3 linked regions of the Tribolium castaneum genome follow. The main gene of each other region encodes a partner of the protein of the gene in region 2 in a complex. Links are inferred from orthologs where the notes say so. Each region holds a gene or a part of one and is shown on either strand. Other genes may lie near its edges.

Region 1 (3,873 bases), on a different chromosome or scaffold from region 2:
ATAACCTAAAAAATTATTTTTTTGGCCCTGATTTCGCACTTTTTTAGAACGGTTCGGTAAAGTGTTTACCCCGGTTATCTATGACATGAATGGGAACATTAAGGTAAGTCTGCGTGTGCTTTTACCAAGTAATAAGAGCTCACATAACCGCACTTTCTGTTTCAGAAAATCACAGTCAAGTATGAGGAAGACCGGGAAAATTACGAGTTTCTAGAGGACATGATACTTAAACAAAAAAATGTGGGCCAACTGCTTGTTGTGGACGCTTTGCAGTGGCTGCGGCGGTAAAAAGCCCCTTTTTGGGAGACTTATGCATAAATCGTTTCAGAGCCCTTCATTTCATTTCGCGCTTCTTCCAGTCTGTGATCGATGACTCCGACAATAATAATAACACGCAGGATTTGTCCATATTTGTGAAAAACGCGTACAAGGAGACTCTGGAGCGGTACCACGGCTGGTTGGGGTCTCAGTTGTTTAATGTACTTTCGTCATTTTTTCAAAAATTGTGGCTTATCCCAACAAGTTGTAGATTTTGTCACGGTTTACCCCAAACCGGCAACAGCTTTTCTACCAACTCGCGCTCGAGAAGCACCACAAGGAGGACCACGTTTTGCGTGATATGAGACAGTTCACGCTCAGGATGTCCTCATGTGTTCAGAAGCTGGTGGATTTCTACCAAGAGCATGATCTCGAGACGAATGATAGGGTCTAGTTGTTGTACTTAGAAATTTTATATTTGTTGATCTTCCAGTTGTAAATAAAACGTTTGGTATAGATTCATTTTTTATTCACTCGGTAGCGTTCTTGTACATCTGCAAGCGTCACATCTGATCTTAATTTCATAATGCGAAAGTAAATTGCTTGTTGCGCTGCCGTAAATTTCAAAGCACAATAGCTTGACACCAACTGAATGCATAACATCACGAACATGATACTTTGCACTATTATTTCTATAACATGCAATTTGAAGTTAGGATTGAATAACAGAAGACCTTGTAGAGGAAACTGGAGCAGTAAGGACAACATCCAAAAGCCCGCCAGTTCAGGAATCTACAATCTTATTTATTTAAATCGTCCGCAAAGTGGCCGTGATATTCAACAAACTGTGCACATGTGTAATATTGGTTGCATCTGCCGACTCAATTATTATCATTAACTTACTTTATCCTCAAGATTTCCCTTGTACCCTAAATAGAGTCTTAACATTTCCAAAAGGAAAACTGTCGAAATGACCGTTATGATAATAAACTTGTACAGTTCGCTAAAGCAGAGATACTGGAATTGGTATTTCGAGTCATTTAGTAGTTTTTCGTAGTTAGTCTTACTGTATTCCTTAAATAAAGCACAAGAATGGCCATCCAAAATGGCGCGAAAATCACGTTGAAATAGAGCGACATCTGCAGCGGCAAATTTGACATAACTTCGTTACCTAAAAAGCCTTAAGGAATCGTAATTAACCAGGCATGTTTTTACCATAAACAACATTATCGATTTTACGCGAAAGGCCTGGAAACACTTTATCAGACACTGACGTCACAGTTTCCTTCCAATCCATAATGAATATTTTGAGCAAACAACAAGGTCAAGATTATTTTTAATGTTCTGATTGTTAACAGATTGTTGGACATTTATGTCCTGAAATTGATAATCTGGTTTTGTTTGTATTAACTTGGGGTTGAGTTGCTTGGAAACCGTAATCAAATCCCCCACATTTGCTGGTATTGACCACTGCAGGTGTTTATTTTTGCATTTTTTTTAACTTTATTCTTTCTGTCCGATTGATGTTATTCTCATAAGTTTTAAGCTAACAAAAAAATGATCACAGATATGTATCGGAGGAAAATCTTCAAACAATAACAAGTGGTTATCCGAAAAGTTATCAGATAAAATGTTATTACGTAAGCAACGAAGGTCGTTCATTATTGTTGAGTACACATACCTAAAACAATGTGATACAAGCTACCAGAAATAATAAATATGGAAATACGAGACTTAAAACAGTGAGTATTTTTAATTTTAGCACCACTTACCTTTCGTATTTATTACCTTTAATCTTTTTTGAATTGTTTCATTTATTAGCTACTAGTTTACAATTTAAACAAAGTTTTATATTATCACAAATAAAAAATAGCATGGTCATTGTTGAGTCACTGGACTGAAAACTTATTGCTAAAATAATTTTAGAGCTGAAGAACTGCTTGTGAAATCAACACACGAAAACATTTTTGACTACATTGATGAAGAAATAGTTTCGTGGGATTTACCCAACCATGGGGATTATCCAGATCTGGTACCAAAAATAACTGACTTGGTTTACAAATTATACACAGAAATATTCCCGGAACAAAACAATCCCAGGAACTTTGCGGCCTTCCAGTGGTAATAATTTATAGGCAATTTGTTGTACTTGTTCTTTCATTGGTGATTTCAAGGATTATTTTTGATAAAATCCACGATTTGGTCGTGCCATGCATTAAAGCGAATTTGTTCCGAGAAGATGAAAATTTCTTCGAACGGTGCTCATTTTTGTGCAAAATTAACGTCTCGGCAAGGGAATTTGGCGCTGATGATAATTATAGTATCCCGTTATGTGCTGCCGTAATTGAAAATATTTTTTTAACTGATGCGTGTAATGTTTTTTTTAGGTTGTGGAATTGTCGGTTATAGACAAATATAAAAGTCCCAACGAGAAAATGAACTGTTTGTGCAGTACGTACGATTTAGTATTTGCGGAAATAAAGACAGCGATGGTTTCAGTAATTTCAGAAAGGTCAGGTAAGTTGCATCTTGATTTATTGTATGTACTAGGTTTTTTTAATTGTTAATAATTACAGATAAGGAAATTGAAATTCCCATTATTGACAACAAGGACATAATGCCTGTGCTTATGGTGGTAATTCTTAGGTCGAAATTACGCTACATGTTGAGCAATTTATTTTATATTAAAACTTTTTATTTAAAGATAGAAGAAAATCGAGAAATTTTGTAAGTGTTAGGCGTCTTTTTTATGAACTAAATTGACTGATATTTTAGTGATATATTTAAATCGTTTGAAACTGCTGTTGATAGATTAATGCAGTTGGATGTTGATATTATGAAGCCTATGAAAGGACTTTTTCAAAACAGTTTAGATTTGGAGGAATACATGAAAATTACGTCCAGCCCTGGAGAAGAAAAAATAGAAAAGGCAACTTTAATCGATGAAGCAAATCAACGAGTTTTGAATTTAATAACACGGTCTACAGGCGAAGATCAACTTTTTTAATGAAATAAAACGAACGATATTGTTTAATTGTGATGTTAGAAAAATAAACTAATTGATACATAAGAATATCTAGTTTTATATCCTCCTTTTTTATTAGATTTTTAGCATTAATTTCCAGCCGAAACTTTGAAAATGATTTTGAATTTTCAAATTTGTGCGGTGACGCTTTGGTGGCGACGGTTGAAACTAAATTCTCCCACCGCGAAACCGCAGATTTCTGCATGACCGACCAAATCTTTTCGGTTTTGCGCAGGCCCCTGAAAGTGTATACAAATTATGTGTTCACTGGGAGGGGTGGGGCAAAGGGGGGAAACGGCTAAAATAGTTCGTGTGCTCCAGCTTAGAGGTCGCGTCAGTTGCAAAGAAATCTGTAAATATAAAGGAATCTGTCACACATTTTGCTAAAAGTAAAGAAGGTTCACTTAAAAATAATCGACGTGCGCACACTTCTCTTTTTAATTCTTTGATTTATCAACAGCCGATTATTTTGCTGTCGTTGCGGTTTTTGGCGACATTTTGTTTTAATGTGTTTTAAAGACTTCAGAAAACGATTTAACGTGATTTTTTGGATGTTTTTGTGATCAAACATCTCTACTTTTATATGGATC
Region 2 (5,322 bases):
TTTTGTGTTAAAAAGGGGGCAATTGTGGTATTTTTTCGACCTAACCTCACTTTTCCTACTAGCGATTTTTCGTTAAAATAAGACCACAAACCGTCAAGCAATGGCAAAATTAAGTCCGCATGGTGTATAGTGTTTTGGGGGGCGTTTTTTTATATAATGGAATTGACGGGACAAGGTTTTATGTCCAATTATCCACTCAAGTAATAAGTCTTTTATTGTTGTAAATATTTGGACGTAATAAAGTAGAATATAAAAAATACTAGAGTTTTGTGCTAGGAAGGCACCGCAAATACTATAACTAGGCCTTTTCGTGGATTGTCAAACATAACCTCACTTTTACTTTGCATATTAAATTGCTTACAAAAAAATGTTTGAGGGGGCTGACCTTAATACTAGGGGCTTGAAACACGGTTGCGAGTCCGTCCAGATGAGTTGGGGGCTCGCGCAATGCTCAAATAAAACACTTTCTGATTATGCGCCGACATAACCCCACTTTTACAAAATCAAAAATAATACTAAAATCAACCTCTAGTCATACAATACTGCAAAAACTGGTCACTTTGTACCTAATCTGTGCTTAAAAATAATAATTGTTACACTTTTGTGTCATTTCCTAACCTCAAATCCGTTCCCGACTTTTCAAAAAATACTCAGGCCAGGCAAAATTCCAAATGATTGCGATTGCCATCAGGAGACAATACGTGACGATAGAGAGCCACCAAATGACCCGTTCGACCGTTGTCACTTCTAGGTTTCTTAGGACGTTGAGCCCCACCAAGAGCCCGGCAATAGCCCCCGCAAAGTGGGCCATGTACCCGATATGTTCGTCCATTTCGAGGAAATACCGATTGTAAATGGCGGTCCCAATGTCGGAGGCCATAATGATCAAAAAAATAAATAACTGGACGATGGGGAACGACATTTCCCTCCAATTCATTATAATGGTGGCTATATGTGCCGTGATGAGGGAGTAGACCCCACCGCTGGCCCCCGCAAGTCTCACGGTGGGGTCGGCGATTGAGGTAGCAAGCGACCCGGCGAGGACCCCCGCGAAATAAATGAGGAGCACTCGCCACCACCGGTGCACCATTTCTAGCGGAGTCCCCAGTAGAATTTGCACCAAAAGATTGACAAACAAATGGAAGGCTCTGCAATTAATTGGGTGGCTAACGTCGGTCAATTGTTGATTAATTACCCAACGTGCACAAACATGTAAGTGATGAACCGCCAAGCCTCCTGTCTCTTGTAGGGGTCGTAGATGAAGACGGAACTGATGGGGCCCGAGGCCGATTTGGTCGAATCCGCCTCGATTGCCTCATCCACACAGAAAAAAATGACCTCGATTAGCGAAATAATGATCATGCCCACGGCCGGGGGGTAGCAGGAGTACTGGTCGTCGTAGGCCCCGTCCACCTCGCTGGCGCCCCGTCGGCGGGGCACCACCATCTGGATGTACCTGTTGACATAGTGCCCGAAAACGTACTGGAGGTCCGGGTGGTTTATCATGTCCACGAATTCGGTGAAATCGATTCGGTCGTCGTGGTTCTGATCGGCCATTTGGTGGATTTTCCGCACGACGTGCTCGGGGATGTCGTGGTCATATTCCCGGCTCTCGATCAGGTCATTCAGCTCCCCGATGTTGATAAAACCGTCATGGTCCCGGTCGTACTGAAAGCGCAGTTTGGGTGATTGCTACTAAACTGGGGGGCTCACTTTGTCGAAAATGCTGCGGTAGTAGGCGTTTTTGCGGCTGGCTTGGAGCGGCGTCTCCGAGTTGGCCATGGCCACATAACCTCAATTGGCGCACACACACAATCACTGTTTACGTTACTAACACTCGTGTTACTACATGTTATCACTTATTATTATTATCACTTTTGTTTTGTTAATTATCATTACACGGTTATGTTTTGGTAACTTTGGGCCCAACTGGGGGAATTCCGCGCCTGGCAGGTTTGAAAAATGGCGCGCGGCTAACGTCATTGTTGTGATTCACGTGTAAAACACTTAAAATGAGTCAGGAGGAGACTTTGGTCAAATACACGGCAATTTACAGGTGCTCGGATGACATCACCAACTTGAAAATAAGGTAAGTAAAGACACTACGTACACAATTAAAGTTCAAGGTTCAAGAGTGAAGTTGCGCCAAGTGGGGGATTTAACTGGCGAGGATTCGGACGGTTGGGAGCAGAAAGACTTCGCCTGGCAACAGAAATGCTTCAGCAAGTCAGAAAGGGAGTACTACAAGGACGAAAAAAACTGTATCACAGATCTGGAGAAAAAGTACCATTCGGACGTCGGGGAATCACACACTGAGGCGCATTTTGACCTGTTTTCGTACACCAATGACGACGATTTTGCCCTCAAACAGGAAGTTAATGACAATTTCCGCGAAAATTGCGACGAAAATGGCCAGGGGTACGACTACGGCCAGTCACTTGTGGCAGCAGTGCGAAATCCCATTGGTCATAATTACGAGTTTGAGGTCATGTACATCATGGCGGACCTCGGGTAATTCCCCCGAAACGTCCGAGTGACTATAAAGCGATTTGTTCGTAGCGAATACATCGATTCGACTTGGCTCAAGCAGGAACAAGTCCTGTGTGTCGTTAAATACGACCGGAAGTACAAAATATTATCAATTAACCCCGACTTTACCAAATCCCAGCCGTATTTAATCCGACTTGAAGGCGCCACAATTCGCAAATATCACTATTTCCTTGAGAACGTTTCGGCCCAAATGCCTGAGGAAGCCCACCGTCGCGAAAAAGAATTAATCCGAAAAGTGTGTGTTGTATTATCCCCGAATTTATCTTATTTAAAGAATTTGCAGATAAATGGCCACAAAACCGAGCTTTTGAAATGTTTGAGTTTCAAACTTCCCGCCAAAAACAAACTGGCCGTTCATTTGTTCATGGAACTCGCGTGGGCGCAATATTTCGAGTATGGACCAATCTACGTCCAGTATTTCATCGACTTGCCGTCGGATTGGTCCCCGACTGACCAATCGCAACTGCAGGGCGTGACGCAAACGTGTCACGTGACTGGCGATGAGGGTTTGGCCCATTTCGGGCACGTTTTCGACGTTACGTTAGAGTACAATATCGAGGATTTGGGCAAAAGGGGAATCCCCAAGTGCCCTTATATCTACTTTGAGGTTATTTCGAAGGACACTTGGAGTCGGTATAGGACTGAAGGGCTGACTTATAAGGCCTTGCCCGTTGCCAAGCCGGGGAATTACCGGTTTAACCTACAATGTTTCCGGTTAATCCCCGACCGGATTTCCGGTCAGTTACGCCGGTTTTTTATTGGCGATTGTTCAAGCTATGGTGACTTGACTTGGGTGGGATTACCGAAACATTACGATGTGAGTTGACTAAATGAAAGGTTACTAAGGCTTAAAGCGGGCTTAAGCCGACACCGAGTGTTGCTCATTTAGGTTAGGTTTAACTAAACCTCGGCTTATTGCTAATATTTTTAATAAATTATTATTGTAGATAACATTATAATTTTGTTGAAATTGGTCAATTTTGTTCAATAGTATAAACTAACACTAGAAAGCAAAAAGTTACTTGCTTGCATTGGATGAAAAAAAAAACAGCAAAAAAAGTATAATGATAATAATTCACTTATTCTTATTCCATCAATATATTTTATCAGTATTTTTTTTATTGTAGGACAAATTTTTAAACATGAAATAAATAAATGCCGCATTTTATTGATACATTTTTAAACATAAGATTTTTATTATAACGATATTATTGCTACAATGTACCGAAATATTGATAAATGGTGACATTAATGAATCTTAACCTAACTTTTTAAAATCAGAACTGTCATAAGTGCGCAAGCGTGCAGTACTACCAACCGCAAAGTTAAGTTCAGCGCGGCTTAGCTGAGCAACACTGCAGTTTAAGCTCAGCTTAAAATGGCGAGCTTATCTAAGGAAATTTTTTTTCCAGGGGTCTGTTTTAAATAAATATGGGACTAACACGGTTGGTACCGGTCTGATCAGCGTGACCGTTCACGTCGTCCATCAAAGCCAGGCGTTTCTGGACAAATACAGAGAAAATTCCGAGGAAAATTTGGAAATTTTCGAAAAATTGAACTCGTCAAGTTTGGTCAAAAGCGTGGAGCAAGTGCTCCAAGCGTTCAAAAGGGCCCGAAAAAACATGATTGCGGCCCGGAAATTTTTATAATTGTTGTTTTATTTTGAGAATCAATAAACGTGGCAACGCCGCACTAGGTATAAACCAAAATCGATATATCTGGGCGAGGGACGATCGGACCGGTTCGGGTCACATCGGGCGACTTCGGGCTGTCTTTATCCATGTTTTAGCCCCAAGTTTGGGCTTTGGCCCCATGGTGTGCCTGGAACTGGCTTCCAGTTCACCCCTCTGTCTTTTGGGATGCTCTGGGGGGCTCAAGTGCCGCTCGAGTCTTAGCGAGGTCCCCGTGGCACGGCCGCCCTGTTGCCACGCGTCCCCCGTTCATGAACCTGTCTCAAATTGTAACACAGTCGCCTATTTTGCAAGTCATTGACACGTCGCTCCTTCGGGGGTGCCATCGATAAAATCCATTCCTGTAATTTCTCTCGTCACGTGACTAATAATTTCAATTTTTAAACAATTCGTCTATTTGTGACCGGATCGATAAGGCGGCCATGGCAACTCTTTTTTCTTTTTGGTAGTTTTTGCAATTGTGTTGGTACTTCCCCAAGTCGGGATTGGGGCCAGGCGTACCAACGTGTACATTGTTGTTATTTTGGGCGAAAAACGAGTCAATTTAAGCCGTAATTTTTTCGTCGTCGTGTTGGCATATCCCCTTTAATATAACAGTCTAAAATCGCCCGTCTCTCTCGCACCCACTGCCAGTACGGGTAAAAATGAAACCGGAATACACTAAACCGTATTGTGCGTCCGGTGCGAGTCGCGACCTACCGTGCTTTGTTGTGCTTGGCTTTGCGGCCGATTTTGGCCGATTCCGGGCCCGCTTTTGGCCCAAATTCGCCACGAGTGCTTGTTTTTGGCTGTTTTTGGTGAATCTGGCGTTGGTTTAGTGCGGTTTTGTGCCAAATTGTCGGTTTTTGGCCGTAGTGAGACGGAGGGCGGTGTGTCGGTGATAGTAGCGGCCAGCGTCTAGCTTCATCTCGCTTGTAGTATGCGTCCTCCCCTTTGGAAAAGATCGACTCATCCGGACCTGTTTTCGTTTCAGCTTCGAAGTTTAACCAAGATGTCGGGTTATGGCGGTATCTATATTATAGAATAGTGTTCCGAGTGTTTAAAGCGTAAATTCGGCCCGAAATAACCCACCCTGTGCTGT
Region 3 (5,212 bases), on a different chromosome or scaffold from region 2:
ATTGAAAGGTAGTCGCTAAAATCTTTTCCTGATTGATAATGTCGTCGAAATCAACTCTAGCATGAAAAATCTCCGTTATAAGTAATGTTGTGATGTTACCACATTTGAGAGATTTATTTTGAAGGTCAAATTCGCCCCAAGTTCGATTTAGAATGTCATTAAGATCGTTTTCAAACATTGGTCTCAGCCAATCGCCAATATTGTAAATGTATGCGTTACCGAACAGTGCAATCACTCTATTACTTAATGTACCATTTGTTACTTTTAAGGCCCAGTATTTGAATACTGTGTTCTGTACGGCAATGCATACATTTTTCGCCGAGAGATTTTTGATCCAAATATAATCATTAATTTCGCATCTTAGATACATATTATAACCGAACTCAATCGGAGTATATTTGTGTTTACTTAGAACGCACACACCCTCTGAATTTACAAACGGCAAAACGAGGAAATTTTCGGTAAAATCCGAAGGATTTCGGTATAGCTGTAATTGTTGTTTGTAACTTGTTGCATTGCTAGTCGAGTTCGTATTATTTATAGGAACATTTATAGAAACGATATTTGCGATTAAGATTGGCTTGCCAACTAAATATCCCGGATTTCCACTAAGGTGCGATGAATAGTTCAAAGTATGGTTCCACCAAATAAAATTAACTTCAATCGTTTGGGAAAACTCCATTTCCTGGTGGTAATAAAAAGTGGCACTTTTCAGAATCAAGTAAAGTTCGACTTTTATCAAACCGTTGCTACCATTATGATAAAAATTGTATCTAACGTTTTGTACTAAATTAATACAAAACAGTTCGTTGTTTGCAATGTTAACTTTGCAGCTCGATTTTATTCTCGTGTCGTTTGGCGATATTTGGACGCAGTCTTCAAAGTCTTCGTTGCATATTTTTGGCCGAACATTTAGACAAACATCTTTTGTACAATTCTGGAAAGGAATAAGTCTGTTTGGTTTCCATAAAAGTATAGTACCTACCTTGAGAAAATTTTTGTGTTTAGACACATTTAGCAAACCAGGATTTGCAATTATTGTCATGTTTCTGAAAAATGTGTCGGCTTTTAGATAATAATTATCTGCGGATATGTTCGTATGACTACAGCTGCTCTTGACGTCAATTAAATATTTTATATCTTCTTTGACCACGCAACTAGTTACCACAAAACTCTTAAGAAATTCTACGATTGAAAAATGGTTATTTAGATTATTGATTTAAGATTTGGAGACTAACGTAAGTTTTCAATTGTGTTATTTCTTAAAATCAATAAAGGTTTTCCATAAGTATAGTTGAAATAATTGAATATTTGACTATCTTCATGTGTAGGCTTTGGCCAATTAAATTTATTTTGTCTCTCGAATTGAGCATCTTGTAATGACTTCAACGGCTGGAATTAAAGTTGTAAAATTATTTTTATGATTTTTTTAAGACTTTATCTTACTTGCTTTCTTTGGACTATGTAACTTGCTGGTAAATTACTACGCACAATACAAAATAGTCCGTTTTGGTTAATTTGAAACTCATGAGGTGTCTTATTAACGTAAATATGTTTTACGTATTGGCAATATCTAGTATCATATTGACGGAAATCTTCTTCACAATGATCAAACACAAGTTTATTTTCTAAGGAACAGTCTTTGTCGCAACAGCAATTCAGATCACAGTAGTCGATCTAAAATCATGCGTAAAAATATAATTTATTAGGGAACATATAGATACTTACAGTTAAATCACAAATACACAAATTCTTGCTTGATCGTTCCGATGTTTTTATATGAAAATGAAAAAAGCTCGCGGGAGTCGGGGTTGTGACTAAAGCCGTTGTTTGTTGAGTTGGAGGAACAGTTACTGAATTATTAGTTGAATTTGCAAAACAAGAACTGTTGGCTTTGCAAGTAGTTGTTGGAACAGCGGTTGTGGACACAATTGGTGACGTTGTGCCCTTTTTAACATTTGTTTCACTTGACTGGGTTGTGGTCACATTTTCTAAACTTGTGCTTTTTAACAAAACGCACAGTATTAAAACAGTCGGTAAATTGTTAAGTAGTTTACTCATATTCCACTCCATAATTGCTGAAATTTCTGAACAAGGACTCGTCATTATTACTGTTTTGTGCCTTATTATTACCTAAGTACAACACACAGTTCAAATGAAACAACTCCCATAGCCTCCGTAGAGAGTTTATAACGTTCCCCCGAAGAGAAGATCAAGTCTGGATTTTTTATTTGATACCCACCTCCCAGAAAATACTGCACAAAACGATCTTTTATTGTACCAAATGGTCTCCAAGTGTAGCAGTCCAAAATATGGGTCCCGGGAGTTGTAGGAACTGTTATGAAACCGTAACCGAAAATGTGACTCCGGCCTAGCCAATCTAAGTGATAAACTTGCAAATAAATCTTAGGCCAACCTAAAATTCGGACTCATTAAAAAAATAAACGACTTTTTTGAAAAATTATAAACCTTGAAGTCCAGCAGTGGCTAGGTGAATATCTATTGGATAAGACCACTTGCAAACTTTACCAAACTGAGGTGATGTTACTTGAGTTTGACCTTCCTTCTTCCCAGAAATAACTTTCCAGTTATTACCTTAAAATTTTATAATAATAAAAATAAACATGAACTGACTGACAGAGCAGTCGATTTTAGTCTTAAAACGATAGAAATACTTATCGAAAAGGCAAAATAAGCGTCTGTTTGATACAAAAATCAAGAAAAGAAGTCAAGAGAACCTCACCTACTTGGAGATACCATTTACAGAACAAATTCTGCTTTGGAAAATCTTTGGCTTCAGTTATTTGCCCAATTATGTGCACTTCTGCCATAAGGCCAGAATACCATCAAATGATAACTGTTTTCACAACAAACAAAACTGAAATAAAAGAACCACCTGAAGAAAATGCCAAACATAAAAACAATATTTTTGTTTACAATACTGTTTTCCGGTTGCCTAGCAACGATTTTCAAATATTTTAAGGGCGGGGGTCAGTTTTGTGTAGGAATAAAAAATAAGCCTCCCATGACTTGATACAACAAATTGGATTCTTTGCAATTATTGTTGTTATAGACAACAAAATGAGTGATTCATCAGTTGCCAACAAGGCTGTTGGTAGTCTTTTTCCCAAATTTAATTTTCTTTTCGCAAAAACCCGTTTTTTATTTAATGACTTGTGCGCAAAAGCAGTGAGAAATTGCAGTGCGCGTGCGCGCTATCGACAAATCAGGAGGCGTTTCAATTGAGCGAAACGTGAAGATGGCCGTGAAAATTGTCAGTGACGTTTCTTTCACCTTTTGATTTTTGGCAAAATAACAGTTTTTACCACTTTTCTAACTTGTTGTATGAAAAGTAAGTATTGTTTCTTATTGTTTACAACCGGGACGTGCCACTTGACCTTGCTGTTGTCGTTATGTAAATGATAAGGTTATTGGGGAAATGTCGTTTGATTTTGAAATCTTGTTGTTATTTACATAAAAAAAACGTTTCTTCTTGAAGGGTCCTCTGTTTGGGTAATCACATGAATTAGGCAGGGTAAGGTATCTCAAGTGAAACCGAGCGAAAATCTCAAGCCTCCATGTTGTAGATTGTTTATAGACTTCACACTTTCGTTAAAATAATGCCGAGACGTGCTAACAACAGTTCTTCGGAGAATGATCCCCCCAAAAAGAAGACTTGCAGCAACTCCTTTGATTTAAGACATGGGGAGTACCTAAAAGACATCACAGGGAAGCAGTGGAAATTGGGGAAACCTGTGGGTGTTGGGGGCTTTGGGGAGATCTACCTGGCCTCTGATGTCCTCACCAAAGAGGTCAAGACTGATTGTCAGTACGTGGCTAAGGTGGAAAGCCATAAAAACGGGCCGCTTTTTGTCGAAGTCAATTGTTACCTAAGGATTGCTAAACGCGAAATGAGTAAGTCAATAATTTGCGGAAAAATCGCATAATTGGAATCGTTTCTAGTTGAAGAGTGGAAGCGAGCAAAGAATATAAGTTCCCTCGGAATGCCCCACTATGTGGCGTCAGGTTCCCACGTCCACAAGGGTGAAAAGTATCGTTTCTTAATCCTCCCGAAATTTGACAGAGACTTGGAAAAAGTCCTCCAAGAGAAGAAAATCCTAAACCTTAAAACAGTGCTCACAATATCCCTCCAAATAATTGATGTTTTGGAATACATCCATAGTAAAGGCTACATGCACTCCGATATCAAGGCATCTAATATTCTTCTAAGTAACCAAAATAAGCCCAAACCAACCGTCTGTAAACGAGTGTCAAGCGGCTGCACACGAGTATCAAGCGGCTACACTTTCACCAGCCGTCTCCGTGCATGTCGCAAAAAACCAACCAGAATCACTAGAAACTTAAGGCCGAACGCTAAAGTCGCCTTTTATCTCGACGACATACCAAATTTTAATCAAATCTTCACTAATTGTGGTAATTGGTCGTAATGTGTGTTAATCATTAAACTAATCATTTTACTTCAGTGTATGAAAAACCAACAACAACACAGGACCAGATTTATCTCCTTGATTACGGTCTGGCGTCCAAATTTCTAACATCAAATGGCGAACATAAACCGTTTTGCGTTGACGAACGTAAAGCTCACGCTGGGACTGTTTTATTTTGTTCGCGTGATGCTCACAAGGGGGTGCATTCGCGACGCTCAGATTTGGAGTCTTTGGGGTACAATATTATTTATTGGCTGACTGGGACTCTGCCATGGGCTGGTGATGCAGACAACCCGGAAATCGTAGCCAAAAAAAAGCAAAGAGCTATGGCTGATGTGGAGTATTTCATGAATTACTGTTTCAGTGAATATCCTAAGTTTTTGGAAGAATATTTTAAGTATATTCAGAAACTGGAATTTCAGGTACGTGTTTAACTACAATTACGTGTTCTTGAATCGTAGCCTACGAAAAAACTAGAGGTGTTTTTGTGAAATTTTTTATAATTAAAATTTATTAATTACTATTAAGTAACCGCAAAAAAAATCTTGTGAAAACAAAACACACTTGAGTATGAAATATTCAAATAAACGCATAGTATTTTGCATATTTACTGAGTATCTAATTATAATTTAAACGAAGTATTCGGAGTTGAAATAAATTACATGTGTATTTTTTGGTAGGAAAAGCCTGACTACAGCTACTGTAAGAAGCTCTTTAGGGAAAGTCTGAAAACGAACGGTTACAAAGACGATTCGCGCTTTGAT

The links. Proteins that work in one complex are often made in the same cells at the same time.
Region 1: Mks1 (region 2) and transmembrane protein 17 share a complex: the UniProt entries of both Homo sapiens proteins name them as parts of the tectonic-like complex. The link is inferred for Tribolium castaneum from reciprocal best matches to the Homo sapiens genes MKS1 and TMEM17.
Region 3: Mks1 (region 2) and B9 domain-containing protein 2 share a complex: the UniProt entries of both Homo sapiens proteins name them as parts of the tectonic-like complex. The link is inferred for Tribolium castaneum from reciprocal best matches to the Homo sapiens genes MKS1 and B9D2.

Annotation. Positions count from the first base shown.
Region 1 is NC_087395.1:14,180,988-14,184,860, reverse strand, and holds transmembrane protein 17, read right to left. Parts: upstream 1,608-3,873; 5' UTR 1,556-1,607; coding exon 1,474-1,555; intron 1,430-1,473; coding exon 1,326-1,429; intron 1,276-1,325; coding exon 1,162-1,275; intron 1,051-1,161; coding exon 778-1,050; 3' UTR 771-777; downstream 1-770. Other genes in the region: glycolipid transfer protein, read left to right, coding at 48-103, 166-284, 329-479, 530-712; ankyrin repeat domain-containing protein 27, read left to right, coding at 1,978-2,000, 2,185-2,379, 2,433-2,598, 2,646-2,775, 2,835-2,985, 3,034-3,265. UniProt on the Homo sapiens protein: Transmembrane component of the tectonic-like complex, a complex localized at the transition zone of primary cilia and acting as a barrier that prevents diffusion of transmembrane proteins between the cilia and plasma membranes.
Region 2 is NC_087401.1:10,812,510-10,817,831, forward strand, and holds Mks1 (tectonic-like complex member MKS1), read left to right. Parts: upstream 1-1,949; 5' UTR 1,950-2,012; coding exon 2,013-2,089; intron 2,090-2,133; coding exon 2,134-2,511; intron 2,512-2,559; coding exon 2,560-2,785; intron 2,786-2,833; coding exon 2,834-3,367; intron 3,368-3,962; coding exon 3,963-4,199; 3' UTR 4,200-4,242; downstream 4,243-5,322. Other genes in the region: rhomboid-related protein 2, read right to left, coding at 620-1,148, 1,196-1,668, 1,714-1,782. UniProt on the Homo sapiens protein: Component of the tectonic-like complex, a complex localized at the transition zone of primary cilia and acting as a barrier that prevents diffusion of transmembrane proteins between the cilia and plasma membranes.
Region 3 is NC_087394.1:33,824,223-33,829,434, reverse strand, and holds the start of B9 domain-containing protein 2, read right to left. Parts: upstream 3,071-5,212; 5' UTR 2,832-3,070; coding exon 2,744-2,831; intron 2,596-2,743; coding exon 2,470-2,595; intron 2,417-2,469; coding exon 2,134-2,416; intron 2,088-2,133; coding exon 2,054-2,087; 3' UTR 1,729-2,053; intron 1,678-1,728; 3' UTR 1,447-1,677; intron 1,393-1,446; 3' UTR 1,239-1,392; intron 1,186-1,238; 3' UTR 986-1,185; intron 938-985; 3' UTR 1-937. Other genes in the region: serine/threonine-protein kinase VRK1, read left to right, coding at 3,621-3,915, 3,964-4,434, 4,485-4,870, 5,129-5,212. UniProt on the Homo sapiens protein: Component of the tectonic-like complex, a complex localized at the transition zone of primary cilia and acting as a barrier that prevents diffusion of transmembrane proteins between the cilia and plasma membranes.